2 linked regions of the Daphnia pulex genome follow. The protein of the gene in region 1 purifies or fractionates together with the protein of each later gene. This does not show direct contact. Links are inferred from orthologs where the notes say so. Each region holds a gene or a part of one and is shown on either strand. Other genes may lie near its edges.

Region 1 (15,220 bases):
CAGACTGACAAGAGATATAAAAAAAGAGCAAACGACTAGAACAACTGAAAAAGTCACAAAATGCCAAAATGGATCCATTTTTTAGCTACTAGAAAAATTTGCTATAAGGAAATTCCGATAGCCTACCGTGTGTGTTAAATAGATCACATTCATGAATTGCTATAATGTAAAATTTCAACACCAATTGAGGAGCAGATTCGAAGAAACATTCTACGAGACGTAGATAAGTCATCTGTTGAAGGCATTGATCCATTTTCGGAAAGTCTTTCATCTTTTGGGCTTTTATACTTTCAATTCCATAACAAAGGCTGTCAACGTACCTAGATTAATTTCAACCTTTACCGCTACTGTCGATACGAGTCAAATTGTACTACGAAAATACCTGGCTAGAGGCCATATTAAGATGATTCGACAGACAACTCTAAAAACAGATTTCCATTTGGACTTTGACACGGGCGCAAATTCTTCTTCGTCTTTGGCGTACCAATCGTTACTCAAGAAAGACATGAACATGCCAGGCACTACTAAAAAGATTAGTGTGATGCAACAGTAGTATTTGTAACCTGCATAGTGATAGCGAAACACCAAACACGCGTCGTTCAAAATATCCCACAAATAAAAAGCCATTAAAAGCACGATCGTCGCAACTTCCCACGCTATTGACTTTCTTTCACATTCGACCTGTGGTTGTGCAACTGGTATATCTTTGGGAGTATGCATGTTTCAAACTGAAACACTCTTCACGAAATAAATATTTTGTGGGAACCAAAACACTGATGAGCACTCAAATTGGACAGAGAAACAAAACTGTAAAATTTTTAGATGAGTTAAAATTTAAAAACAAAATTTGCTTGACGATTCCAAACGTTGAGCGAAATCCACAGAGAGGGTCCAGCCGGAGTGCTGGATTGTGACCGACTGACTGACCAGATCAAACTGTCACAGGCCTACGTCTAACCATTTTACGACTCTACCTAAAACTGGAGGCACACAAGTTCTTTTTCTTGTAGTCTGATATGTAACAGTAAAATGTTACTACATATAGTAATTCTGACATGGGGAAAAGGACCTACAGCAGTGTTTTTTCGGAGACAGAAGGGTATGACCGACATTAGAAAAATTTTAAACAAACTTAGGTAAAGGGTTTTGGGTTTTATTATCATTGAATTGCTACCCTAGCTTGTCAGATGAATTATTTCTTGGCACGTGGAACTGTCACATGTACAACAAAGACCAAAATAACAAGAGAAAAATTCGTCCTAAAGACGAAGGCCAAAAGGTAAAACAAATTCGGAGGATAAAACAAAACCCTTTGGTTTCCAAGAAAAAGGGACAAACTCAGGAGTTTATTGCTCTAGTGACCTAATTGTCAAAACGTTTCGAGCATTCGAAAACATCACGTTTGAGTGATCTTGAGATCAATTAGATTTTGGCTACAAGCTGAATAACACAGTCGACCACGTGGTTCTACATTGAGTTGGAGAATTTTAGGGAATTCACGGAGCCTATAGTGGCTTTGGCTTATCTAAAGTGAACAGCAGATGATTACGACTTACCGATGAAGAAAGGGGATTCGGGTTCAGAGTTGGCGACGAAATGGCATCCTTTCTTTTCTGGCAGCCAACACACACCTTGATAGTCTCCTTCCATCATGCACAGCACTAGGGTGATATATTCAGTTATTAAATCATTTGAATCTAGTTTTTTAAAATTTATTTAGATTTAGAATCAATTTAGATGATTAACACTTCACACTGAGAAATGTCATGCCATACTTGAAGACAAACAAGTGAAACAACTCCACTCTCGACCACGAGTCAACTAAACTGTTCTGCGGTGAAGAATAGACAACGAAATGAAAAAGCGGGAGAACTGGAGAAGGGATCAAAAAAGATTTTGATCGAACCCTCCCTTATTGCCATCGATGCCAAAGAAAATAACCCACCCCTTTCCTCCTGCTTCCTGCCCATCCGCACAACATATTCATACACACAATTCTGCCATGGATGTAACAATTACACACAAAAAATTAACTTGTTAAGTTAAAAAAAATTATATTCATTTATTCTACATCGAAAAATGGCAATGTTGTGGGAATCGTTTTCGTTATGTATGGAATCTAGCTTTTGCAACAAATGGTCCCCATTCCGTAAAATCAAAAATTTCTATTATAAAAAAAATTCAAATGGAATAACACTAAAAGGGAACGACAGTTAGTGTCCGATCTAATCCGTGTAGAACCATGGAAGACAGACACCCGTCTTCAAGCAGCAACGATAGTCCCAAAAGCCCATAAGAATCGAATTCTCAATTAAACATCCCTGGTCCGAGACAATGAACAAAAGTTAATTAAAATACATGTTAACATAAATTTGTTTTTGGTTTTTTTTTTTAAATTTACGTTCACGTCGTTCAAAGAAATGATAATACTCACAATGTAATAAACAGAAGCTTTGTTACGAGGGTATCTTGATTTCACAATCGAACGATTTATATCCATGAAGGATGAAGATATGCTTATCAAAGGTATTTTTAATACAAACACGGTAGCTGTGCAAAATACGGTGTATTCTTACCATAGGAAATTGTGCTTAGCAGCAGTAAGTGCGAGGGTATCACGAAAGAGCAAACCACAAAAAAGTGCAAATGCGCAAGTCAAGTTATTCCCTGATTGAAGCTGACGAGTATGTACAAAACGTTAGTCAAGTTATCGGAAATAAGATCAATCCAGATCTTTTCGAAGTGGAGGACAGAAATAGAGATTCTACATTTCAGGATGGACATCTTCGCGTTGAATGATGTCGAGTCTGCCGAGTCGAGCCGGACTAGTACGAGGGGAAGGAACACCATTGATGATAGGAGGGTGAGTATCGCTTAAGCACAAGGTTGCTCCATCCTTGTTGCATATGCCGACATTGGGCAGCAACAGGTTCGGATGAAGACACTTGTAGTAAAATGCAAGTAGAGCGATACTCAGTACAAAGGATCCTATCTGGCCGAACAGGGCCGGGAAGTGAAACCAAGGACGAGGTGGGGCTATATCAGCTACCTTAATCCACCACAGCACCATAAGAATGGTGTTCTCGAAGAAACAAACCTAAAACAAAAATAAAATAAGGCAAAACAAATGTAATGTTATTTATGGTTAAATTTTTAAATACAACTTACAGCGTAATAGAAAGCATATCGGAAACGTGTTCGATCGGGTTTGACGTTGAAGAATGTGAAGACATGGATGATGGCTAAAATAAGGCAAAAGAAGAATTCTTCTGTGCGGGTGGAGCACGCGGCTGTTGCCTGCAACCAAAGCCATATAGCCATTAGGATCCAGTGGCCAAGACAGACAGGCCAAATAAACCAACCGTATTCGGAAGCAAAGACAGTCAGTGCAATGACTCGAGCAACTATAATAACAAATTCAACGTTATTCAATTTAAGGGAAATTGAGCTAGCTTCCTATGCCTCACCTATCCCAAAAAGATGAGCTAAGAAGAGAACGCAAGTTCCCAGCAAATGAATGTTTTCCTTGTCTACTTGGGCAAAGCGCAGTGATCTGTTGTAAGTCGTCAATGCCCACGCCAAGCTGACGACAGAAGTGACAACAGAGGCAGCTTGGAAAGTCACTGTAAATACCATATTATTAGTTCAGAATTTGTGATGATATAGAATCGAAATGACAATAATTACCAGCTATTGGATCAGTTCCAAAACTGAAAGTGTTTTTTGCCATAATGTACAACTGTAACACTAGCTGTGGAGCAGATTCCATGAAACATTCAAACAGTCTTAGGAATGTGGCATCAGCATCTTCATAGGCCATTCTAGCATAACACTGGCCCATTTTGTTGTATTCCTTCCTCTTTTTGGCTCGTCTACTTTGAAGTCCATAGCGAAGGGTGTCAACATATCTAAAAAAAGAAATTGTGATGTATTTCATGGCTTAAATGCATGTTACTACACAAAATACCTTGCAACTGGAGAAAGAAAAAATATTAGGCAGAATATGCGAAACACCCAGGTACATGTAGACACTGGAGGAAAGTTTTGGTTGTTCTGATCTTTAATGTACCACTTTGTACTCAAACCAGACATGGTGAGAGCAGGTATGGCCACGAAAGCCAATGTAAACCCAAAATACCAATGGTGCCCCAAATTGAAATATGTGGCAGCCATAAATCCGTCAGTGATAAGATCAGCCATGTAACTGAATATGGAAACAACGATGCAGACTACATCGAGCCAGTTGAAATTTGCTTTTCCTCGCAAGCCATCCACTTCGTCGAACTCAAAGTGACTCGTTTCGACCAGCGACTTCTCTTGACACTTGTCTTTTTCGTTTTCAGCCGACACACGTTCATGACACGCCCTTGGTAACAGTTTACTCGGCGATGAAACTGTATTGGCGGTAGATTCCATATTTGGGCTCGTGAAACTAATTTAGGTTTGATTTATAAACACGAGCCGTTGGCTTAGCACACAGCCACACACACACACCTGCTATAATAATTTGAAAACGTAGCGCCGTCTGACGACTACCCGACTTTGACAGATATGAAAAGAGGCGGAAGAGGGCAATAGATGAGCAGACAGTAGAATGATAGTGAATGTCATAATAATCCGCTAGGGGCGCTGAAAACAAACAAAATTTGAACTTTTTCTTCTTGGAATATTTTCATCGTTCGGTAATGAACCGGTACTTCTCCTTATTGAACGAATGATCTCAATCAGATTTATACTTTTAGTATTAATGTTGAATACACGTCCGTCCGTCAACTGTTCTGTGACAAAAAAAAATGATGTAATCATGTCATTCCGTCCTCTGTGTATTTCCGTCTTTTGTGTATTCTGTGCATTAACGTGATGTTAATGGTTTAACAAAATCGAAGGATCGTAGAGTAGACACTGGGGAGCCTACTAGACCGAAAGTCGAACCGCGATTTATTATTATTAGGACTACATATCATTTGCGTTCGTCTCTAGGAGACAATTCACGTTATCGCATTATTTTGGTGTAGTCGACAGTGAAAAGTGGTCCAGTGCGCAGTCAATACTCAATAAAGTAAAAGCGTGGTACCCAGGTTGGATACCACTCTAAAATACCTTCCCTTTTGTTATTTTCCAAAATAAGAAGCCACGATTTTTTTACCCCAATTACATTTAAGTTTGTTATACGATGTTGCGTCCACCGCCATCTTCTCTACAACGACATATCATTTTGCTCATCATAAAAAAGGAGGACCTTCAATTCCGTTTTCATTTTCGAAATTTTGAAAATATCCGCTAGGAGCGCTTTATCTGATAGGAGACATTTGATTAATCGTGCAACATTGGCAGACGAAAATAACGGGCTGGTTCTTGGCCGGTGCCACGTTCCGTACCTCAAAATTGCTGATGAAATTTCCTTTTGTTGTTAAGACTGTAGCCTCCCTAGTCTTTAGTAGAAAGTTCCTTGGCACTCAATCTTGCACGACCAAGATTAAACCTTTCCTTTTTTCGAGAAAGCTTCACGTTCTTTCTTCTTTAAGATATCAAAAACAGGCACCCGCTTGGGGTTCGAAAAGGCATAAGGATAAGCAGAAATTAAAGATTCAGTTTATTAACATAATGGCTGATCCTAAGATTGAAGAAGTTTTGGCACCTTTCCGTGCTTCTGTCAAAGAGCAGGTATTTGGTTTGTATGATGATGATTATTGTTCGTTATAGTACTACCTGCTAGTGACAAGTCAACTTGAACAAAGTGTGACCTGATTTGTTTCCTCTTTTTAGGGAGATATTGTCCGTCAACTAAAAGAATCAGGTGCTCCTGAGCTTGATTTGAAGAAAGCTGTTGCCGAACTGAAGGCTCGGAAGAAGATTCTTGAAGATAAGGAGTTGGAGTTGGCTCCTGTGGAGGCTTCTTTTGACCGAGCTAAAATGGAAGACTTGCTAAAGAGAAGATTCTTCTTTGACCAGTCCTTTGCCATCTATGGAGGTATCACTGGCCAATTTGATTTTGGTCCAATGGGCTGTGCCATGAAAGCCAATATGCTCAGTACCTGGAGGAATTTTTTCATCTTGGAAGAACAAATGTTGGAAGTTGATTGTTCAATCCTTACTCCTGAACCTGTGTTAAAGTGAGTAACCTGTTTTTTATGGCAAAAAATCTCTTTTGTTACATACTCAATTTCTCATGTCTGATCTTAGGGCTTCTGGCCATGTTGATCGTTTTGCTGATTTAATGGTAAAGGATGAGAAAAATGGTGAATGTTTCCGCCTGGACCATTTGATCAAAGCCCATCTAGAAAAGGTCAAATCTGATAAGAAAACAACTTCTGAAGTCAAATTGGAATGTGAAGACATTGTCGTTAAGCTCGATGGAATGAACAAGGAAGAAATGCGTGTCATTCTCCGAAAATTTGAGATGAAAGCACCCTTAACCAACAACGAACTCAGCGATCCTATGGAATTCAACTTGATGTTCAGCACTTACATTGGCCCCACTGGCCTAGTTAAAGGCTTTTTGCGGCCTGAAACAGCACAAGGAATCTTTGTTAACTTCAAGCGATTGTTGGAATTCAATCAAGTAATAATTTATTTTGAAACTTTTAGCCCATTGTTCTGTTAACAAACAAACACATTTCTTAAGGAAAAACTGCCCTTCGCAGCAGCTCAAATTGGCAATAGCTTCCGCAATGAAATTTCTCCTCGTTCGGGGTTGATCCGCGTTCGTGAGTTTACGATGGCAGAAATTGAACATTTCTGCGATCCAACGGACAAGTCTCATCCTAAATTTAGTGAAGTTCGAGATGTTCAAGTAAGTTACCGAATTGATTATACTAGCTTGTGAAATAATCCAACTTTATTGCACAGGTACTCTTGTATTCCGCCTGCAACCAAATGGATGGCAAAGCAGCTGAAATTGTCACCATCGGCAAGGCAGTGGATGACAAAATCATTGCCAATGAAACTTTGGCATATTTCATGGCTCGTATCCAACAATACATGGTCAAAGTCGGAGTAGATCCCAGGAAACTTCGATTCCGTCAGCATATGAACAACGAAATGGCTCACTACGCCTGCGATTGTTGGGATGCTGAATGTCTCACTTCCTATGTAAGCTCTTTGTCTATGATTTAACTTGAACAATATTGACGTTACATTTTGAATTATATCAAGGGATGGGTTGAATGTGTCGGCTGTGCCGATCGATCTGCCTACGACTTGTCCCAGCACACCAAATCCACCGGGGTCCGTCTTGTTGCTGAAAGGAAGTTGCGCGAGCCCAAGACTATCGACGTCGTTGAGGCTGTAGCCAACAAAGGCATTGTTGGCAAATCGTTCAAGAAGGAAGCCAAAGAAATTATGGAAGCGCTCTCGAAGCTGGAACCTTCAACTGTCGCTGAAGTGGAAGAATCTTTGAAAAACAACGGAAAATATGTTCTTGAGATCGGTGCCAATTCCTACGTCCTGACACCCGACATGTTGGAAGTCAAGCGTTACCAAAAAACTATTTACGTAGAAGAATATGTGCCGAATGTCATTGAACCATCGTTCGGTATCGGTCGGATTATGTACTCGATCTTTGAGCATAACTTCAGAGTGAGAAGTGACGGTGGCCAACGCACGGTTAGTACAAAACCACCGGATGGATGTCGTCATTTCAGAATATTTCTAATATTTATTCTTTTTTGCGCGGGTGATTTCCTTAGTATTTCTCTCTACCTCCGGTTATCGCTCCATTGAAGTGCTCGGTGCTTCCATTAAGTAACAATGCGGATTTTGTTCCATACATCCGCCAACTGTGTAAGTTGTTTTCTTGGCAACTGGGAACTTCAGTGTTTCATATGCTTTCTCTTTTTCTTTCCTTTTAGCGCGTGATCTCACTGCCCTTGACGTGTCGAACCGCGTTGACGATTCAAGCGGATCTATCGGTCGCCGATACGCTCGAACTGATGAAATCGCCATCCCATTTGGAATTACCATCGATTTCGATTCTCTGAAAGAGCCCCACACTGCCACTCTGCGTGAACGTGACTCGATGGGTCAAGTTCGTATTCCGGTAAGCTCTGACGTCATTCCAGACGAAAGAAAGTCTCTTGTTTAACTAAAAAAATTACCATTTCGTCCACAGTTGAAAGAGATTGCTGGCGTTGTAAGGGATCTTTCCTACGACAAGATGACATGGACGGACGTTGAAGCCAAGTACCCGAAATTCGAACAACAAGAAACCAAGACATAAATAGGCCCAGAAACTGTGAATTCTTCTGCAATTGGGTGAGGCGAACGCCTCGAGCAAAACAACTTTTTTGCGCACGACGTATAATAGCATTGGTGTCGGGTACTACTACACACCCCAGTGGCTTTCTGAAAGTAAATCTTGTCTGGTTACTCCAATGTCAAATTTTTCGTTTTTCTTATTTTTACTTTTTTTTTTATATTTCTCACACCGGTTATGAAACAGAACTCGCTGCTCTTTTATTTCACGCAACATCTTCCCTATTTTCTGTTGTATCGCCCACGGCCGGATGCGGCCCCTGTAGAATTCTCTCCATATAGTCTATTCAGATGCAAATATCCGTGTCGGATATTTAACCAGAAAAGGGGGAGAATCGCCAGGTTTCCCTGCAAGGAAGTGCCGAACGCTGCTGCCACCTAGAGTGTTATAAAGTGAGTATCGATATTTTAGAAAGTCTCTCTCTCTCTCCCGCTGACACATCGTTCGTTACGATCTACTGCCGATTATATGAAGACTTAGTAAGCGGACGGAAACCTGCGGCCGGAATGCAGTGAGGGAGGGGTTCTTCGAACGGGGAGAGATTGCTTGTTTTTATCACAGAAAAAAGCCATGCTTTAAAAAATGTCGAGTTTGCATCATTTTGGGCTAGCGGTAATACTTCCGGCTCGTTAATTTTTTTACGTCATGACATGACTTTTGATGGCTTGCCATCAGCTAACCGTTTTTCACTTGGCCTCTAGTTTAATCCAATCCTTTTAAATTGTCGTGCTGCGTCATCGATCGTTTTGGTTGAAAAATTGTTTGTTTTTTTATTAACCGACTAGAGAAATAAGGGAATCCATCTTCCGGAGCGGAAGGGTCTATTGTCGGGGCAAAGAGCATGCGATGTGCCGTACGCCTCGTTTCGTGACATCAATTTAATCTGCTAGGACCTGTAATAAGATTAAAATCTTTTGAATTTTGTGTTATCCCCCGTGTGTGACGTCAGCCGTAGTAAATAACGGAAACAAAACAAACGAAACACAGACGCCCTAGCGGAGGAAGTAGAGTCGGCGAGAAAAGGTGTGGCCGCCGCCGCCGCTGCTGCTGCCGCAAATGCGCGATAGGGGAGAACCAAACACGGGCACGAAGATAAAAAGAGAAACACTTGAGTTGCCAAAATGCCTGTGTTTGTATATCTTAAGGCGAAAAACCGGAGAAAGAGAGAGAAAGAAAAAAGGGATGAAACGTAAACTGCAAATCGCGTTGTCCATTTTCCACAGTCCGGAAGACATATGTAAATAGATGAGGATTGCTGGTACATATAGTCTTAGGAATTATGAAAAAGACGATGACAAGTATGGTGACGATATTACAAAATAAAAAAAGGCGAGACCATGAGCATATTAGCCAGCGCTAGACGACTGTGGGGTGCTTCCCAGTTTTTCTATTCGGTTGAAGTGCAAGTGGAATTTAAGGTTTTCATCCGCCTAGAGCTATATGAGCCTCGACACACACACACAGACACACTCGTTTTTGGGTTTAAGCCATCACCTTCGCACGAGACGAAATTGTTTCGGCAACTGGAACTCGTTTACCTTTTTACAGCGACAATTTTCAATTTGGTTGCCTAAACCTGTTTCCTTCCAGGTTCTCCCTTTCAGCCTCACCTGAAATCATCCTGTTCGGCAACATCGCCGCTCACCAAAATTCCCACACGTATAGATAGTATACTACACAGTACACGACAGGTATATACAACAAAAAACAATGAAAAAAAGTTGTTTTTGGGGGTAGGGCCCATTGAATATTTAATTTCGTAAAAAGCTCTGCCATTTTGGTTCACTTTCATACAGTATCTTAGTAGGACAACAAACCAAGTGGGAGTATGGTGACTAATGCAACCGGAATTGTGTGTGTGTATGTTTGAGTGTGTGTGTGTGACAGCTTTCGTTGGGTTCCGAGTTTTTGAATAACCGACCGAAATATATTCAAGTTTGACGTTTCTTGCCCCGCAGTGGGAACGAACAAAAAATACTCCTCCCGGACCCCGGGTTTGGTTCAGCGTGTCGTGTGCCACAGTCAGTCGGCTGCTGGCTTCTGCACGAACTGGTCGTGTTGTTGTTCGTGGCTGTTTCCCACCACCACCACCACAACACACAAACATATTTTCCACTAGTGTTTCTTATCTTCTCATTTCCTTTTGGAAGAAAGAAACAACAACACCTGATACACATACCTGTGTGGACAAGCGAAAGCTCTTTTCGTGCACACACGTACATTCATCATTGTGAACGACGACGTGAAAGTCTCTAGTTATTGTTCTCTCCCTTCATTCTCGTGGCCGGTGTTTGGCGAACCGCGATCTACTACATGACTGAGTGAAGATACACACAGAGAGACTCGACGAAGAAAAAGAAAGGGACGAGAGAAAGCCGCCTGTTAAAGGTTGTGTGTGTTTTTTTTTTTATTGTGTGCGTGAGTCTGCGTGGGGGGAGGCTGTTTGTGCTCACACCATGATGAATCACGAAGAGATCGGTCGAGGAGACTTTGTTCTGCTCGACGAAATTTCTCCCGACAGTTTCATCCACAATCTGCGAATCAGGTGATATTTTCAGACTTTATTTTTACAATGGCAGATGCTCACACACAAATAGCTTATAGTGATTCTTTTGACGTGAGACTCTTTCGCTGGAGGAGTCTCTCAGCGGGGGCGAACGACAATTGCAGCTAGCCGGGAGGGCAATGTTTTGATGTCGTAAATTAGTCGCGGGTTGTTTTTGGGTAAAAGTCATATAGGAAAAGTAAATTTTAGTACTAACTTTTTATTATTAATTTTTTTTTCGGCAGACATCGGCAGATAGTGTTTTAAAAAATGACAAATCCTAGGGATTTTCGGAACCTTAGAAAAGAAAGCGAAAATCCTTACCCAGAAAAACCAGACGTGACCCCTCGTAAGATTATAACCGACCGCCAGTCCTTGGAATTAAAATTGGTCTTTTTCTGCGAAACTTTTGACTTTTAAAATGTTTACGTGTCTGTCCACAACATTTAGAATACTTACAAATGATGTCAGCGCGTGTTTTAATTCTTATCTTTCTTTTTCGTGCGTTGGTTAGGTGCAAATTTGTTCTTTTTGATTATTTGAAGAGGAAAAAGATTGGACAGACTGGTTTTTCCCCTCTTATCAGATAAATTATAAGTTGTTTTAGTTCATGTTTCGATGTTTCGTTTCACCCCCCTCGTTTGCGTGATTGCCTATTTCCAGCTCCGATGTGGTAATTATAGCGTGAGCAGATGGCGTCGTGGTCATTTGCATGGGATATTCGAACGAAAAATAAACCGGGAGGGAATCAGTTAGACAAATAACAACGAAAGAAATGATCGGTTGTATATCAAACGTTGTCTACTCAATAGTCTGTCTTTCTTCTTTCGAAATGTTTGCCTTTGCTTTTGCAATGAAAAACGACCACTTGAAACAGCCATCTGTCACGCCGTTCTGGGCCGTGAATCAAGACCGTTATCTAATCTCCTTCTACCTAGCTGCCATATTTTATGCCTTTCGTTTTTATTTCAATCTTTACAAAGTTGCCCAATCTTCCAAAGTCCATTAAACACACAAGTGTCCTAATCATGTGTTAAAATAATGATTTCAGATTCAATGGAGGGAAATTTTACACTTACATTGGCGAAGTGTGTGTTTCAGTCAACCCGTATAGAACGTTGAATATTTACGGACCGGATTATGTCAGCCAATACAAAGGTTGTATTCCGACCCAGAAACAATGTTGCACAAGAAATGTTTGCCAATTCACGTTCTGTGTTTCTATTAAACAGGAAGAGAAATTTTCGAGCGGCCGCCGCACATATTCGCCATCGGTGATGCAGCCTACAAGACGATGAAGAGAAATGGCAAAGATACGTGCATCGTCATCAGCGGCGAATCGGGCAGCGGGAAAACCGAGGCTTCCAAAATCATCATGCGTTACCTGGCAGCCGTGACAAACCTTAGCGGCCAGCAAGAAATCGAACGGTACGAACCTTTGACGTTATTATGTACATTCGGGCTGTCTGAATGCATACCATACAAAAGTCGACAGTGCACACTGCACAGTCCCAATCGATCCACTATATAGGAAAAAGGCGGTGCCCTATATAGTCCACAACGTATTCACGCCCTGTAAAAATCTCCGTGATTATTAAGCTACTAATCCAATGAAGTCCTTCAATGTCCCTGGACTGCGGCTCTAATCTTCTAGCTGAGCTCGGGATTCGGGTTACTGTAGCTCTATAGCTCGGGCGTATTGTATTTTTATTAAAAAAACCTTTTCAAGTGAACTTATGCACATAAATTTGTCAGAGTCTTTTATATAGTTTGCATTTTTTTTTTCATAAACAAGCGCGCAGCTGTTGCCAGCGCGAACGCAGGCACGTGTGACGTCAGTAGTTAGGGTGCTAACACAAATTTCCATCTCAAAATAGACGCCGAACTGACGGATTATTTAGCTTTTTCCCAGGTTAGCCTTGCAGCAGTACAGTAATATGTCTTAGGGGGGTTTAAAGTAGCAACTATTTCTTAACGGTATATATCAGTGCTCATGGGGGTTGTAGGTATGCGGGAGCCCAGATCTATTTACGAGCGATTTAGTAATCGATTTTTTTATGTTTTGGCTACCACATAAAAACGTTTGGCGAAAATTCGACAGAGCTCGTGGATACCTGAGACTAGAATTTTTCACTAGCCAGTGGTTGTGAGAACATGAACGTGACAGTGGTTACATTATTGGCTTCGTTGGTTACCCTCCCCCAAAACAACTGGAGACCCCCCCACCCGTTGTTCTTTGAACCTTTAGGTGTTTGAAAAGGCCGATGACTTTGAGCGGAATTGAAAACGAGCTCTCCAACTTTTTCCCGTCTGGCGTCTATTCACGCCGAGATTTTCTCGTCGAGTCATTACCAATGATGATGATGATCAGATGATGATGACAAACATTTTTCTGATTCGTTTGCAGAGTGAAAAACATTCTTCTTCAGTCGAACGCAATTCTGGAAACGTTCGGCAATGCCAAAACGAATCGCAACGACAATTCTTCCAGGTTCGGCAAGTACATGGACATTCACTTTGATTTCAAAGGCGATCCCATTGGCGGACATATCAACAACTATCTGCTGGAGAAATCGCGTGTCATTGTCCAGCAAGCGGGCGAGCGCAACTTCCATTCATTCTATCAGGTATCATCATTATCATTTGTTTTGCATAATCATTGCCTCGGTTATGGGGTGCCATTAGCGTGTGGTAGTCCTTCATTAGTCGAATTCCTTTCCCTCCTCCCTTTTCTTGTCTTCCGGTCGCTTTCTTTCAATGGTCTCACGTCATTTTTCTCTCTCTTTCCGATTTCCGTATGCGAACAGTTGTTGTTTGGAGCTCCGGATGGTGAGGCGGCCAAGTTGCAGCTGAAACGTGACCCGACATTTTACCACTTTTTGCGCCAAGGAGGCGTGGCCAAAGTGGATTCCATCAGCGACCGGACTGATTACAAAAACGTTTCGTCCGCTTTCCGCGCCTTGAATTTCGACGGCCCATCAGTGGATACCATCTGGAAAATTGTGGCGGCCGTTCTGCATCTGGTACTACAATACAAATTCAATCTGATTTGGATTTCGATGGCTTTTTAACGACGATTGTGGATTGTTTTCTTGTTCTCTACAGGGAAATGCGGAATTCAAATCGGAGGGCGACAAGACCCGCCTGGCCAATTCTGCGACGCTGTCGACCGTGGCATCTTTGCTCTGCGTCGACCCCAATGAGTTGAACCGAGCCTTGTGCCATCGTGTGATTGCCGCCAACGGCGAATTGATGGAGAAAGGTCACACGACATCCGAGGCTATCTACGGCAGAGACGCCTTCGCCAAGGTATTAGCCCTTCATTTGATTTGCCGCAAGGTAATCACGAAGTGAACTCCTTTTTATTTCTTGTGACTGAACTTTCCCAGGCCCTCTACGATCGTCTTTTCTCGTGGATTGTGGAGCGAGTTAACAGCGCCATTGAAGTACAAAGGGCGGATAGAAGCTATAACGTACCAGGTACGGTTATTGGCGTGCTCGATATTTACGGTTTCGAGATCTTCGACATCAACAGTTTCGAGCAATTTTGCATCAACTACTGCAACGAGAAACTGCAGCAGCTTTTCATCGGTAACCCCCAAATGAAAAAGTGGAAAAGTAACAGTTTTTTTAATCGCCTTTTGTTCCTCATTAGAATTGGTGCTGAAACAAGAGCAAGAAGAATACCGGCGGGAGGGCATCGCCTGGCAAAACATTGACTATTTCAACAATCAGATCATCTGCGATCTGGTTGAGCAGCAGCACAAAGGAATTCTCGCCATTATGGACGAGGCTTGCTTGAATGTCGGACGCGTTACCGATCAAATGTTATTGGAAGCGCTGGATCAGAAACTTTCACAGCACAAGCATTACACTAGTCGCAAGCTAAGCCCGCTGGATAAAGAATTGCGACACGGCTCCGATTTTCGCATTCGGTACTACTACTCGTCGACTTTTTATTGGCAACATATAAGCCAATTTGTTGTAGTTTTATTGAATCAATATCGATTCCGCATTTCTAGGCATTACGCAGGCGATGTAGTCTACGACGTTGGCGGATTCCTGGATAAAAACAAGGATACATTGTTTCAAGATTTCAAGCGTTTGCTCTACAGTTCCAAGGACCCTAACATTCGTCATATGTGGCCTGAAGGAGCCCAAGATATCCACAAGGTGAATTAAAGTTTTGGTTTTTTTTTTCCAGGAAAGAGAACAAATGGAATCGCTCCGCTTGGTTGAAGCGACAAACGATTCTCCTCGCTGTTGTTAAATGACTGTTTTTTTTTCTCAAAAGAAAAGAAAACGAAATGTTGACAGGACATCTGTTGTTTCCTCCTGGGTTTTCTGCTCTGGAGCGGAAAATCTCACAATGTTGTAGTCTCAAAAAGAAATTTATTTTTTGTTTCCTAGACAACCAAAAG
Region 2 (15,220 bases), on another chromosome or scaffold:
CTTCCCTGTAATGATTGATTATGATGTTGAGGGCGTTACCTTCGTTGTTGGGGTTGCAGTGGACTTCTATTCCATTTTCAATCAAAAGCTTGATGATGTCGTACAGATTTTCGTAGCCATAATTGCGACACAATACGGGTAAGGCGTTGTGTCCGTAATCGTGAATGCAATTGATTTCGACTTTCTGTTCAATTAAAAGTTGAATGATGTCCATTAAATTTTCGTGGGTATAGTACTCGCACACGTAATGCAAGATATTAGTGCCGTATTTATTCTTGCAGTTTATGTTAATTTCGTTGTCGACGAAGAGTTTAATTAAGTCGATTAAATCGTCCTTTTTATAATTGACAATCAATTTCAGAAGGGCGTTTTCTCCGTAATCGTTTTTGGCATTCAAGTCGATTTTCTTTTCAACGAAAAAGTGAATAATTTCGACAAAATCGTTATGGCGGTACGCTTCACCGTTAGCTAGTAATTGCAACAAGGGAGTCATTTCATCTTCATTGAGGCAATTGACGCTGATGCCTTGGTTTACTAAATTTTTGATTTTAATTAAACTTGGGTTTGGCTCTGTACACAGATTGAACAGCGTCTTTTCCATTTCTTTTTGTTGAGAATTCTGTCACACAAAATACCAATCAACAATTATTAAATGCTTTTCGCATTCTTTATATTTACGTAATAGTCTTACCCAGATGTCTCTGAATTCTTTAACAACGTCCGATGATGTCAATCTGCTCTCTGGCTTGTAAGTCAGCATTTTCAAAGTTAACTCACGAATAGAAGAAGGCTGGATTTCTGGAGAAAGAAAATATGTTTAAATTGACAAAATTTGTGGACAAAATCAATCCCATTTTTCGCATACAAACTTACTTGACATGTTGACCGGTTCATCTTGGATGATATTTGTTTGAATATTTCGTGAAATCGAACCGTAAGGGTGTTTACCATCTAAAAGAAGGTAGCCGAAAACGAGTCCTTCGGTAAAGACATCGCTCTTGAAGGTGCAACATTCCCACTGGAATGTTGCAGGATTTTCCGACTGACTCTCTTCGTTTTCGAGCGCCTTTAAAATTTCGGGTGCCAGCCAGTCTAATCCTCCTTTGATTTCGTTGATGGGGCAAGTTCCTTTTGCGTCGATTTCTTTACTTAACCCAAAATTAGTCCATTTCATAACAGTAGACGAATTTCCCGTCCAGAGAAGAACATTTTTGGGCTTCAGATCGCAGTGGATGAGTTTCTTTTCGTGAATATATTCCAATCCCATAGCCAATTGGTAAAGAGCTTCTTCTGTTTGAGGCTTTGGCCCGCGGTATTTTTTGGGATTCTCATCATTCAAAAAGATCTGATCCAGCGATGCTTGGCACAGTTCCAGTGCATAATATCTATTATTTCAATTAATAGTAACTTGATTCCAACTTTACTTTTTTTCTAGTTTTACCTGAATTTCGAGTCGTTTTCTGCGTGAAATAGTTTGACAACGTTGTCGTGACTAAGGTTAAGCCACGATTCTTCTTGTTTCTTACCTAATACGTGAACTAATTGCATCCGCTTGACTGCCACTGGAATACGAGTCGTCCCCCAGACACCTTCAAATATGATACCATTACCTCCCATTTCCAAAATTTTTTCTTGGTAAATTTCTAACATGCTGCCGGGTAGCACATTCCTTTTTGCCTAATCAATCATACGGTTTCAAGGTTAATTTTATTTGAATATATTTTCTGTCTTATTTATTTTTACCGGAGCTCTGTACTCTGTAAGATATTCAACAACCTCCGAAGAAGTGATCCTTTTATCTGGTGCGCTGGACAACATTTTCAAGATAAGATTGTGAACGTGCGTTGGTTGAATTTCTATCAAAGAAAGGAAAAGCAATTTTGAAATTATGACTGGACAGTTTTTGATTTTAATTCTAGTAACTTACTGCTGATATTCACGGGATTGTTCTTCAATATGTTATTAGCTATGTCCAATTGGTTATGACTATTCACAGGAATTTTCCCGAAAATATGTTCACCGTCTAAATAGAAATAACCGAAGACGAGGCCTTCGGCAAAAACGTCGCTCTGGATAGTTCCCCGTCGACGTGAAGATGATGTAATTCCTTCTAAACCATCCGTTAATTCTTCTTCCTTAAGTAATTTCAGTAGTTCTGGTGCTAACCAATTATCGGTCCCTCGTACTCCACTTATAGAAAAAGATCCGTTTTCGTTGACTTTTTTGCTTAGTCCAAAATCAGCCCATTTCATTAGGACTTCTTCTTCTTTTTTGGGATTCACCCAGATGAGGACGTTCTCAGGCTTGATGTCACGATGGACCATTCCCATTTTGTGAATGTATTTTAATCCCGTGGCTAATTGGTATAGAACTTCTTCTCTCGGTGGCATTCGCCTGCAGCATTTTTTGGGGTCACCTTCTTTGAGGAATAACTTGTCCAACGAAGCTTCACACAATTCAAGAGCATAATACCTATAGTAGAATTAAATCTTATCTAATATATATTCTAATATCGAAGAGGGACATTACCTGAAATCAGAGTCGCTCTTGACGTGGTATAATTTGACAACGTTGAGATGTTTCAAGTTTCTCAGAGCCTCTTCTTCCTTTTCGCTGACTTCAATATCCACGAGCTGAAGTCGTTTAACGGCTACTGGGATGTGATTTGGACCCATGGAACCTTTAAAGACGATTCCAAATGCTCCTCTTCCTAATTGGTTTTTGCTGCATTCAAATTCCATCTCGAATCAACAGGCTGACAAAAGACTGCACAAGTAACGCTCGGACTGCAAAGTTATTCCCATGGAGATAAAAAACCAAATTGAAAGCAAACATCATAGAGAGAAAATAATAGTTTGTTAACTAAGAACGTGATGTAAACTATAATGATTTGGTCGTTAATTATTGAAGAAAGCTTTTTTTTTACCTTATTTTTGGGGGAATCAGAAGAAATCAAAGAAATCGCCGAAGCTTCGTACGTGTAAGTGGTTGGTTGGTCGTCGGAGAGCTCATATAAAAGCATTACTGTATCTTGCCTAGTTTCGTTATCGTTATTTCTTATCAGGTTCTCGTTTTGGTAGCACTTTTCGATCGTTGAACAGTTTGACTTTTAATTAACATAACAATTTGACCACTTTTTAAAATTATTAAATATAAGCTGCGCTAGTGTAACGCAGAGGGTGGTAGGGAGATAGTTTAAGGGTGGGTTCTGGTCGGGTGAATAAATGGGGTGTCGTCGTCTGCTGGCTCTCCCATTGAGTTGGTCATCTCCTTATCTCTGCGTTTATACCATTTTACCTATTTTGAAATATAGCCTGTTGTAAACTGTAAAGTCCTACTCGTGAGCTTTAAAAGGACGGTTAAAGTCGTTAAACAGTATAAGCCCAAAAAGTAATTCTATGCATGTAAAAATAAAATACTCTGTGCTTTTTCCGACAAACGGCTTTTTTAAAGGCCGAAAAAATGTTCAATTCAATTTGTATGCATATAAAAAAAAATTTTAATAGGCCTTTTTTATGTTAGATAACCAATTTGAATTTATCAGACTTTAGCTTATTGACCATTATCTGCCAACAATTCATTAAGAAACGAATTTTCGTGCAGATATCGGCCATACACTCCATATAGTAAGTCCCACAGTTTTTGTGAGATCCCCTTCGTTCCAAAATAGTTAATCCGCTCTTACAGTTTTAATTTTGAAACGTCCAATGAGAGAATTTTGCCCAAGTTCCTATATTCATTGAGCATTGTACGGTACGAGTCGACTTCCGTTTAGAATTCTTACAGAAAACGCACGCAGACTAGGGGCCAGTTAGGATTTTTTTGTTAAATTGTTATCTGTTATACTGATCAACAGTTGTCATAAAAACATAACGGAAATGAATTAGACAAACAAGTAGAGTGTTTTGATTTTATAAATTTTATTTTATCCACAGTCATGACTTATGACGCATCGAAAAAAGAAAGAACGAAATGCAAATTTTCCAAAACTGAAATTCAGCCAATCCTCTTCAAATCCAATCCAAAATACTTCCCCGCCAAAGTAAGACTTAATGGCGACGAACAGGTGTTATTTTTCGCCGTGAGTCCATAAGTGACTTGAGGTCCTGAACTTCCTCTAAATAAGTCGGCTTCGGTTTATTAGTCACGTTCGGTTTGGATCCCGTCAAATCCACGATCCGGCCGCGGTCGGACGAGTTCACGACCAAGTTCTTCTTCGAACGGTTTCCGCGATTGCGTTGACGGGTCTTGTGTCCTTTTCCGTTGCTGCCGGTTGGCAAGGTCTTGAATCGGTTGGTGTTCCGGACGGACAGGTGCTGATTCGGTTCGGGATTAGTAGCGATGCGACGGTGGCGATTGTTCGATTTGTCTCGTGGCAAGTTACGCCCAATCTCCTCGACGTCTTCATCAACTTCCATTTCGTTACCTCTCAGGAGGGGACTGACACCTTCGTCCATTTTCGGGCGTTTGTTGGATCTTTTGAGACGAATCTTCTCTCCAACATTCTGCAGCCCAACAACATTTAACTCGTAGGGTTTGGGCAAACGAAGTCGTTTGGGTCTGCGGTGAAGAATTATTTCATCCTTGTACTCTAAAGTACGCTTCTGCTTCTCAGATAAAGATAGACATTCAAATAGAAAACAGAGATCTGCCATTTTCGAATTTTGGTAGTTTTGGTAAACTGAATACCGTAATGATGAAGTCCAAAATGAGTCTCCTTTTATAGACTTCTGCAATGCAACCGTTGTTTGCGGCACACAATTTTCTCTCATTTTCCAAGTTTTATTAATTTGATTTCGATTTGAATAATTTGTAATTGTAATTAAATTGAAGTTTATATTTTTTCCAATCTATTTCAACAACTTTCACGTAAATAAATTTATTTTTAAGTATTTATTTTATTAGGAAAATCAAAATAATGAATTTGTATACGAAACAATGGAGTGGCCGGTGGCGTCACTAATACTCTGCGGGTGAATTTAAAAACTAAGTCAAATTATATTTGATTTTCTTGTTATCATATTCTAATGAACTATAAGGTTAGTGATTCTAAGATAAATCATTCTTATTAGGCTGAAGTGGTGTCCTACAATATGGCGTATTTGATTAGTTTGTATCCTTGAAATTGATAAGAAAACAGAAGCAGGTGTAATTAGTCAGTATGGTATAATTTTACCTCTGCGGTCATCTCTCATTGTTCATAATAAGGTTGCTATAAATAGAAACATAATTTAATGAAAGATACCAAGCAATTCAAAATTGCTCTTAGTCGGCAGTTGTTACAGGTGAAAAGATCGTTGACACCTTCTGGGTGTGTTATCGTAGTAACGTTTTCAGCCATTCTTATCGGAGTTTTCATCGGCGGCTGCATCAGTAATGAGTACCACAGACTCCCACAATACTGTAAGTAATGCGTTTGACGCACAATGTAGATAATATTAATGTCATCTTGTAGAAATATCTGTGCGCAAATAATGCAACTGAAATGTCAAATGGATAACCTAATTCATCTATCCCCGCCAGATCGAAGTTTGTCGAAATATTCAGGTACATATAAAATGTTTCATATGACGCCAACAATCTTACGAAACTTGTGTTATCTATCAGCTGCTCATGACGAAAAACAAACTAACGCAGACTATAATAATCAGCTTCAGTCTAGATTGATTCGTTTTGTATGGCCGTTGATTGTGTAGCGACGTAGTTTCGTTATTTGTGCTTGAATTTCAAATTTGTGCTGAAAATGCAAAGTTGTCTCTCGTTTTTAGTGGGCTTATTTTTATTACTTCTCATTGACAAGCCATCAACTTTAATCGCTAGTTGTCAACATCAAATGTGCGATCTCACGGTCGGACCCACGAAATTGGTTGAACTTGTCAATCTTGATAGTGACTTCGAGAACGGTCAAATTGACCCATGGATTGAGCAGTCGGAGTCTGGTGTCAAGTGGAGAGTCGAGAACAAAATTTTGCCTTGGGAGCCAGGAAATGTGGCTCCTACACCGACCAACGGATCGACTTATCTCCGAGTTGATCGTGGATCGACTTTGTCGTTCGGTGTGGCTGTTCTGCGCAGTCAGACCTTCACCCTTGGGTCTGACACCGAAGTTTCCTTTTCATTCTCCTTTTGGATTCGTTCTAAATGGCCACAATTCACAAACTTGGAGGTGATTAAATTATTATTTTATATTATCAGAAGGACGGACTTTGTTTAAATGTTAATTATCTAATTGATGTGCAGTTGTATCTGGCCAGAAACGGAAATGAAGGTTTGCTTTCAAATTTGTTCGAGCATTCCCATATCAACAATCGAGTTTGGCAGTCTCAGACCGTTTCAATAACGGACGATTCATCCTCTAATTTGACGGTATTAAATTTGTATTCGTTTTCTTGTTTGAGATGTGTCTTTTTTAATCTGGAACTTTGTGCCTTACGAAAGTAGTTGGTGTTTTACGCTTATTGCGGGACGAATGCTGAAGATGCTGTCGCCATCGACGACCTCCGTTTCATTTCTTCTCAAGAGTCTTCGTCAACCACATCGACTACACTGACCAAAACTTCTTCATTGACGACTGCTACTCCAGTGACTTCATCTACCACATCGACTGGAACAACTCTGTCCACCACGTCCACCACGTCCACCACGTCCACCACGTCCACCACGTCCACCACGTCCACCACGTCTACCACGTCTACCACGTCTACCACGCCAACAACCTCGACATCTTCAAATGATTTTGAATTGACGGAGAACTCAACGGGTCCTATTACTTCTACAATAAGCACGGAAATCCCTGAAACATCAACGTCGGGTACGGAAACCGTTGAAACATCACCACCAGCCATTACAACCACATCTGCTACTCCTTTACCAACCACCAGTGATCAAACTACAACCGTTACAACTGAAGAAACGACAACAGAGGAGCAATCGACAGGGATTACGTCAGCAGGATCGACTGAATTTACCGACATAACAGACGCTATAACAACGACCACCGAACTCGCAACAACTATTCCAGAAGGAGGTACGGCATGTGAAAACGTATTTCAATTATTTGAGCTACATCCCTTTGCAATCCTGCTGTTATATCCCTACTACAATCACTTTACATTGGAATTGATGATTTTTCTTTTGAATTTTATTTGCAGAAGATTGTCCATCGTATTTGAAAGGAAATACTAAACTGCCTTGCTGGACCTTGGGTGGGAAATGTTATTGCTTTTTCACCGACGCCGTAAGAAACCAATCACGATTTCAGATTTTTTTTGTTATGAGGTTCAAATTTCAACAAATTTTCAGGTCGGCAAGAATTGGATATCCGCGGATACCTTTTGTAAAGATGAAGGTATGGGTTTGCTCAGTCTTGAAACTGTAGAGGAGGACAAGTTAATTTACGACCATATCAAAATTACACCAGGTAAATTGTCAAGTGAAAATCGTGCAATGAATAAATTATATTTTTTTTCCTGCGTGAATCTAGAGTTGAACAGCGTCAGCTATTGGACTTCAGGGATGTATTCCCTGGATGGAGAAAAAATATGGGAATGGGCATCTACAGAACCCTTTCAGCCGTTCACTTACGTGAATTGGAGTCCAGGCCAACCTGATAACAACGGACCGGGTTATTGCCTTCACCTTGATTTAATCAAAACTTTTAGTGCTGGTTATTGGGCTGATATATTTTGCACTAATTCTTTCAGATTCATTTGCGAATCAATTGATTAACTTGGTAAAATCCAGATGTAATAAATAGATCTGCAATTATTTATTTATATATATTTTTCGTGTAAAATTTTTTTTATATCAGTGTGTTATCAATTCGAAATTTATACGAAAATAAAAATACACCAGCAATCAGCATACCGCTTGAGTTTTGACTTCTTAAGTTAATTGTATCTCATAACCACTAGTTTAGATCCATCATGGATCCATCTGTGAGACACAATTAAAGAGCTTATGCATTTTTCAATGTAAGATAATAAGATATCGTGATTTGTTGAGTTTTGTTTCGTGATTTCCCCTCCCAGCCTCCTTCATCAGTTCCTCTTTTCCTGTTCACGTTGCCCTTGAAATACGTATGTTGAAAGTGTGGCAACGTTGCGTTTGGTAGCAGACGAATTTTTCTTGAAATTCTGATGTAAAATTCAGCAATTCAGCGATCAAGAGCCGGAAATCTCGTGGAAGATAGATAAGCTACTGTTTCTTGGATTGATTCATTTATTTTTAGGTAATTATAAAGTTATCATTGCATGCATTTAGTTTATTTCATAGAAGTATTTGGTTTGATGAGAAAATCAAATTTATCGCTCCTTATGTCAGCAATGTGAACTCAATACCAGTTTTTCTTGTTATTGTGTCAAAAACAGTTTATGTGGCACTTTGTAAGTTTACAGAATCGTTTATTTTGCTTGGTTAAAACTCTTTACAAGTAGGAAATTGATACCATGTTAACAGTCCATCATATGTTTTTTACGAAATGTAAAGACATTTTTCTGCACACTTTTTTTTACAGTTAGAAATGGTGGAACCAGTTCCCGAATCAATTGATTTTGCTCAGGAAGAAGGAAAAATCTTGGAATACTGGAAGAAAATTGATGCATTTAAAACCAGTTTGAAATTGTCCAAAGGGAAACCTAGGTAATGCAAATCAATCCATTTAATTTGCATCTTAAAAATTACAAATTTAACATTTTGATTTTATTTTTACTTATCATAGGTACACATTCTATGATGGACCTCCATTCGCTACTGGCCTTCCTCATTATGGGCACATCTTAGCTGGAACTATCAAGGATATTGTCACCCGATATGCTCATCAAAATGGTTTTCATGTTGAGAGGCGTTTTGGATGGGACACACATGGCCTTCCAGTTGAATATGAAATTGACAAAACTCTTGGGATCAAAGGCCCAGAAGATGTCATGAAAATGGGAATTGCCAATTACAACGCCGAGTGCAGAAAGATTGTCATGCGTTACGCAGAGGACTGGGAGACCATTGTCAACAGAATGGGACGTTGGATTGGTAAGTAAAAATTTCCTTCTATCAACTTCTTTTGTTTCAATTACTATTTTTTAAATCATCTTTTCAATGTTTTGTGTTTCAGATTTCGAGAATGACTACAAAACCCTTTACCCGTGGTTCATGGAATCAATCTGGTGGGTTTTCAAGCAACTCTTCGAGAAGGGGCTAGTCTACCGTGGATTCAAAGTGATGCCTTTCTCGACGGCTTGTAGTACTCCATTGTCCAACTTCGAGTCGGGACAGAACTACAAAGAAGTGGTTGATCCGGCAGGTAAATCATATATTTCTATTTACATTCAAGCCATTCTTAATTACTTGTCTTTTAAATACAGTAATTGTTAGCTTCCCGCTTGACGATGAGCCGTCAGTGTCTATTCTCGCATGGACCACTACTCCATGGACACTGCCGAGTAATCTTGCACTTTGCGTCAACGCCACGCTGGACTATGTTCGAGTTAAAGGTTTGTTTAAGACAACTGTAACTATTAAATAAAGTAAAACCTAAAACAATTTTATTCTCCATATTTCTTGATAGAAAAAGCAACAGAAAAGGTTTACATCATGATGGAAGCTCGTCTCAGTGCACTTTTCAAATCTGGAGAAGAATACGAAATTGTGGAACGATTCAAAGGAGAAGTTCTCAAGGGAAAAACATATCTGCCACTGTTCCCTTACTTTGCCAGCGTAATTATGAAATTAAAAGATAATTAAATTCTGTCGTAATTTAAATCATGATTTTTTTTTACAGTTGAAGACTTCCGGCTCTGGAGCATTTAAAGTTTTAACGGATTCCTACGTCACCGACGAATCCGGCACTGGTATCGTTCACCAAGCCCCATACTTTGGTGAGGACGATTACCGAGTTTGCCTGGCAGCTGGCATTATCTCAAGAGATCAGGAGATGATTTGTCCTGTGGATGATGGAGGAAGATTCATTGATCCAGTTACTGATTTCGCCGGCCAGCACGTCAAAGATGCAGACAAGAACATTATCAAAATGTTGAAAGACTGTGGCCGATTGGTGAATTCCGGCACCGTAAAGCACAGCTATCCTTTCTGCTGGCGCTCTGAAACACCCCTTATCTACCGTGCTGTTCCTTCTTGGTTCATCCGTGTGGAGCAAATGTCCAAACAGCTGTTGGAAAACAACCAGAAAACTTATTGGTAACAAACGTTATACATTTCGTGTTACTGCGTGTTGACCCATATGAATTGTATTTAGGGTGCCCGACTTTGTCAAAGAAAAACGGTTCGGCAACTGGCTGCGTGACGCCAGAGATTGGGCCGTCAGTCGCAACCGTTACTGGGGCACTCCAATTCCCATTTGGATGTCGGAAGATGGCGAAGAGGTGGTGTGTGTCGGATCCATCGCCGAGTTGAAAGAACTCACGGGCATTGAATTGACTGATTTGCATCGCGAGAACGTTGATGGCATCACTATTCCCTCCAAAATTCCCGGTCGGCCACCCTTGAAACGTGTCTCAGAGGTTTTCGACTGTTGGTTCGAATCTGGATCCATGCCTTACGCTCAAGTCCACTACCCGTTTGAAAACAGGAAAGAATTTGAGGACTGTTTCCCTGCCGATTTCATTGCCGAAGGCATTGATCAAACACGCGGATGGTATGTTTGTTAATAGTAAATTGAGGTAGGCATTTAACGAATAATATCTTGGCTGTTTTAGGTTCTATACGCTGTTGGTTTTGTCGACTGCCCTCTTCAATAAACCACCGTTCAAAAATTTGATTGTCAACGGCTTGGTGTTGGCCAGTGACGGCCAGAAAATGTCAAAGAAGAAGAAGAACTACCCCGATCCAATGCTGGCAAGTTTATTTTTTCTTTTTCTATCTAAACAAAATGGTTTAACTTACTTTTTTCGACTTTTATAGGTTGTCAATAAATTTGGAGCTGATGCTCTTCGTCTCTACTTGATCAACTCCCCAGTTGTTCGTGCGGAGAATCTGCGCTTCAAAGAGGAAGGTGTTCGAGATATTATCAAAGACGTTTTCCTACCCTGGTACAACGCTTACCGATTCTTTGTCCAAAATCTTGAACGTCTCGAGCGCGTAAGTGTTTTCTTTAGATATTGTTAGACATTTTGATATTGATGCATTTTTCTTGGCTACAGGAAGATGGAATTAAATTCGTTTATGAAGAAGAGGCCTCTAATTTGTCAACGAATGTGATGGATCGCTGGATCATTTCCTACACTCAGTCCTTGCTGCTATTCGTCCACCAAGAAATGGCTGCCTATCGGCTGTACACTGTTGTTCCTCGTCTTGTCCGGTTTGTAGACTACCTGACCAACTGGTACGTGCGGATGAACCGTAAGCGACTAAAGGTAAAAATCTTTTCGTTTATTTTCACAACACCTTAGATTAATTGTCATTTGGTCGTTTAGGGAGATGGTGGCAAGGACGATTGTCATCACGCCTTGCAGACACTTTTCAGTGTCTTGTTTTCCATGATCCGTGTTATGGCCCCATTCACGCCCTTCCTGACCGAATTGATGTACCGCAACTTGCGTCATTTAGTGGCCAACCAGAAAGCCGGAACGACGGAATCCGTTCATTTCCTTTCTACGCCTGAACCAAAGTATTAAAAATTCTACAAGCAGTAATCAACATTTACTAATGCTTCATTTTTATTAGGAAACATTTGATTGATGTCAAAATTGAAAATGCCGTGAGTCGGATGCAAGTGGTGATTGAACTCGGACGTGTTCTTCGTGATCGCCGCACTCTGCCCATCAAGGTTCGATCGTTTTTTTCATATTCTGTCGCTGCCGGTTATTGATTATCATTTTCAAATAATTTGCAGTACCCTTTGCCGGAAGTGATTGTTATCCTCCGTGAGCAAGAGTCCTTGGATGAATTGAGGACTATGGAACGATACATTCTGGAAGAGTTGAATGTCCGTGCTCTCAAACTGACCACCGACAAGGACAGTTTTGGAGTCAGTCTACGTGCAGAACCGGATCACCGCATTGGAGCGCGACTCAAAGGCCAATTCAAGGCTGTCATGGCTGCAATCAAGGTTATTTACTGCGTAATGTGATTACATGCATGAACTAAAATTTATTCATTGAACTGAATTAGACCCTGACGGATGAGCAGCTACAAGGATTCTTAACCGAAGGTCAGATCGATGTTTTGGGTAACATGATGGGTCCAGAGGATTTGCGGATCTTTTACCAGTTCACTGGTGACCGAGCTGCTGAATTGGCCCAGCAATACGAGACACAAGCGGAAAAAGACGTAAGTTGTCTGTTTAAGAACCATTTTCCTGGCTTTTTTTATTGAATTTTTCTATGTGAGACAGGTGTTGGTGTTGTTGAATGTAGTCCAAGACCAAAGCATGAAGGACGAAGGTTTGGCCCGAGAAGCCATTAACTTGGTCCAAAAACTGCGCAAGGAAGCTCACGTAACTCCTTCTGATGCCGTCAGCGTCTACTTTGAGGTATTACTGTTTTATTAATAAACTCCTTCAAGCTTTCCATTAACGTGTGGTTATTTTAACAGGTTGTTCCTCCTACCGGATACGTAGCCGATGTTGTCAAGAGTTTTTCAAATTACATTGAGACTGCCATTAAAGTTCCATGGAGAGCAGCACCATCCAAGAAGTCGGGTGCAAAAGTCCTCATCAACAAATCACAAAAGGTAACAATGAATTTTTTCACGACTGTTCATAAACTTCATAGAGTTAAATTATTTTATTTTTTAACTACAGTTGCAAGGTGTAGATTTAGTGCTGACCATTCAAGAAGGATTCACTGCCGACTGGGCAGCGAAAGCCGGAGTCCCTCCAGGCAAGAAGTCTCTGGTTGCCACCCAGGCTCCTACAGGCCGAGGGAAACCATCTACGCCGTAATTGATAATTCATTTTTGAAAACATAATTGAAATCTAAATGTTTCTTTTTTTGTATTGCAGCTTTGTTAATCTTTGCTTAGAAGGCCTGAAATCAGGTTATGGCATTGAAGGATCCTACGGAACCATATTACTAAGCAATCCTGTCGGAGCATCCCTCGTCTCTTTCGAAGGACTTGTGAAAGAGGTAATTTTGAAATATCCATACTGCATTTCATGTATGAATAACCATTAATCAATTATTAGGCTGCTACGGTTTTCGGTCTGCATGGTCGACCGTACACGGTCAAGAGTTCCGGTGTGACTCTCGATGCGGCTACGGATATTTCCAAACTTGCTGGCACGACGCTAACGGTTGTTCCAGCTACAGCTGAAGATGCAGCTGCCCAAACACCATCCATCGATGGATCGGCTTGCAGGTAATGTCTCTTCATCTCAAATCTTTCAGTGAAAACCATTTTCTTAATCCGCCTCGTATTTTTTCTTTGTTGCAGATTTGTCAATGTCAAATTAGACGGCAAAATGGGAACGGTACTGTTGGAGAATCCTGTGGGATGTCCACTGTTCAGCTCTGCAGAGGAAATGCAGCGGAAAATCGGAGCCATTTACTCGACATCAAAGAAGTTGTCCTCCGATGAAAAGAAAATGCAGCCAGCGAAATTTGAAAACCTGGACGGGTTACACGGGAAGACCGTCTATTTACTTTGATTCACCTGAAACAATTGTTTTTGGCTTTAACAATAGCGTGACATTATATTGTCACAGTTGTTGTGTACTTGGGCAAATCTGAGGCAATCAGTAAACAATAAAGTGTTTGATGGTCTCTCAATTTGCATGCAATAGTTGCCGAAGTTATTTTTAACTAATTGAATTGATTGTAGGGTTTGCGCCCTTCATTTTTTTTTTTAGTTTGCTTTTCGTTTCGAGACGGGGTTTGCTTGAAATCGCTAACGAGCGATCTGACACGCCCCCGCCTCAGTTCTACTTGATACCCTACACAGAGTGTACCTTAAAACAAATATTACCCTCGAGCCAGTGTGTAGGCCGTCACGGAACTCTCGAAGATTAAATATAATCTATGAAAGTCTTTCAGAATGGAATTCACTTGCTTGACGAAATAAGGTTTGTGTTCAATATTTCTTTTTCGTCTTATAAAAAATTTTCTTTACCCAAATATCTAATCCCAAAAGCTAAAATAGTTGTGTTTAATCGATAATCCGATGTTGTAAAAGTTATGAGTGATTATACATTGAGGAGAATTGAGACTTCACTCTTTCGAAAAATATCTTTCGTAAAATCTGTTCACGATTCTGCCGTGAGGTAAATTCGAGTATTAGTAGTAAAAGTGGAATAATAGTTCTTGACGTTGAGATTCCAGACGTTGATAAATTCAAACGTCATGGGTAAAAAAATAGCTAACAAAATATTGAAAACATGCAGCAATTTTATGTTATGCAATTCAGAATCAACTGAGAATTAACTTCTCATTGATGCATTACCTTTAATTCTCGATAGTTACTACATTTTTATATATTTATAGGTACTTCCTTCGTTCTGTCAATATAAAAAATTAGAAGTGTGTACTATGATTATGAACCACACTAATAATTGAAATAAACTAAGCAGAAGGGACAACTTTTTCTAATTTTGCAAATTTGTCTACTTATTTAAAAAGAAAGTTATTTTCTCTGTAAAGTTTCTAGGTGAATTTGAAATACAGAAAAAAACGCACAGTAAATTAAATTTCAATATCCAGTTCGAATCCAAAATGCCTTCATAAAATCAGCGAACCTCGACTCTTAACCTAGAGCATAACAATATAAATTATAAGTTTATTTAATAAGGAAACATTCAATAATACTTCTCTTACTCATCTCCAGAGAAAGAGCTTTTTCAATAACAGTATTGCATGGATCGCTGGTCAGAGAAACGTTGTAACATTTCGAAGTAGATTTCCTCACTTCAAACTTAAGAAAAAAAAAGACTTTTCCAAAAATACAGCCCACAGTTGGAGAAGCGTAATTGAAGCTGCAGTCTGCATTTTACAAGGAATTACAATGGGTGATTTATAAAAAAGCGTTAGTTCTGGAACAGGCGCAAACAACCGATCTCGAGATACACGCTCACTTTTGCTGAAATCAATTAATTAAACAGCGACATTGTGCCGCATTGTACCTCATGTAAGGTGGGGATTCCTTACAGAGAAGAAAACGATGTTGAGTACTAAAGAGCTACTTGTATTGACGTGTGGGTCAAGAGGGAGTAGGTACAACAGAGAGAGAGTGCCGGGCAAGAGAGCTTACAGCAGAGAGCGAGAGAGAGGGAAAA

Evidence for each region.
Region 2: the proteins of glycine--tRNA ligase-like (region 1) and isoleucine--tRNA ligase, cytoplasmic-like fractionate together in Homo sapiens (co-fractionation; 3 studies listed by BioGRID). This does not show direct contact. The link is inferred for Daphnia pulex from reciprocal best matches to the Homo sapiens genes GARS1 and IARS1.

What each region holds. Positions count from the first base shown.
Region 1 is NC_060028.1:9,582,782-9,598,001, reverse strand, and holds glycine--tRNA ligase-like, read left to right. Parts: upstream 1-5,280; 5' UTR 5,281-5,391; coding exon 5,392-5,664; intron 5,665-5,766; coding exon 5,767-6,113; intron 6,114-6,183; coding exon 6,184-6,562; intron 6,563-6,625; coding exon 6,626-6,793; intron 6,794-6,849; coding exon 6,850-7,092; intron 7,093-7,155; coding exon 7,156-7,605; intron 7,606-7,688; coding exon 7,689-7,782; intron 7,783-7,850; coding exon 7,851-8,038; intron 8,039-8,110; coding exon 8,111-8,218; 3' UTR 8,219-8,373; downstream 8,374-15,220. Other genes in the region: uncharacterized protein LOC124210048, read right to left, coding at 1-44, 127-320, 383-627; XK-related protein 4-like, read right to left, coding at 2,765-3,097, 3,169-3,404, 3,468-3,623, 3,688-3,908, 3,968-4,416; unconventional myosin-Id-like, read left to right, coding at 10,711-10,799, 11,851-11,957, 12,032-12,227, 13,207-13,426, 13,607-13,822, 13,905-14,108, 14,189-14,390, 14,455-14,734 and 2 more. UniProt on the Homo sapiens protein: Catalyzes the ATP-dependent ligation of glycine to the 3'-end of its cognate tRNA, via the formation of an aminoacyl-adenylate intermediate (Gly-AMP).
Region 2 is NC_060019.1:985,016-1,000,235, forward strand, and holds isoleucine--tRNA ligase, cytoplasmic-like, read left to right. Parts: upstream 1-8,085; 5' UTR 8,086-8,230; intron 8,231-8,515; 5' UTR 8,516-8,521; coding exon 8,522-8,640; intron 8,641-8,719; coding exon 8,720-9,027; intron 9,028-9,109; coding exon 9,110-9,298; intron 9,299-9,359; coding exon 9,360-9,488; intron 9,489-9,562; coding exon 9,563-9,711; intron 9,712-9,775; coding exon 9,776-10,191; intron 10,192-10,249; coding exon 10,250-10,648; intron 10,649-10,709; coding exon 10,710-10,848; intron 10,849-10,914; coding exon 10,915-11,091; intron 11,092-11,153; coding exon 11,154-11,366; intron 11,367-11,426; coding exon 11,427-11,620; intron 11,621-11,676; coding exon 11,677-11,779; intron 11,780-11,845; coding exon 11,846-12,061; intron 12,062-12,123; coding exon 12,124-12,282; intron 12,283-12,346; coding exon 12,347-12,484; intron 12,485-12,546; coding exon 12,547-12,684; intron 12,685-12,754; coding exon 12,755-12,891; intron 12,892-12,955; coding exon 12,956-13,079; intron 13,080-13,138; and 5 more. Other genes in the region: dual specificity protein kinase zak2-like, read right to left, coding at 1-619, 692-798, 874-1,385, 1,442-1,677, 1,744-1,856, 1,928-2,472, 2,530-2,741; mucin-21-like, read left to right, coding at 5,744-6,166, 6,241-6,366, 6,442-7,027, 7,152-7,237, 7,303-7,420, 7,484-7,728. UniProt on the Homo sapiens protein: Catalyzes the specific attachment of an amino acid to its cognate tRNA in a 2 step reaction: the amino acid (AA) is first activated by ATP to form AA-AMP and then transferred to the acceptor end of the tRNA.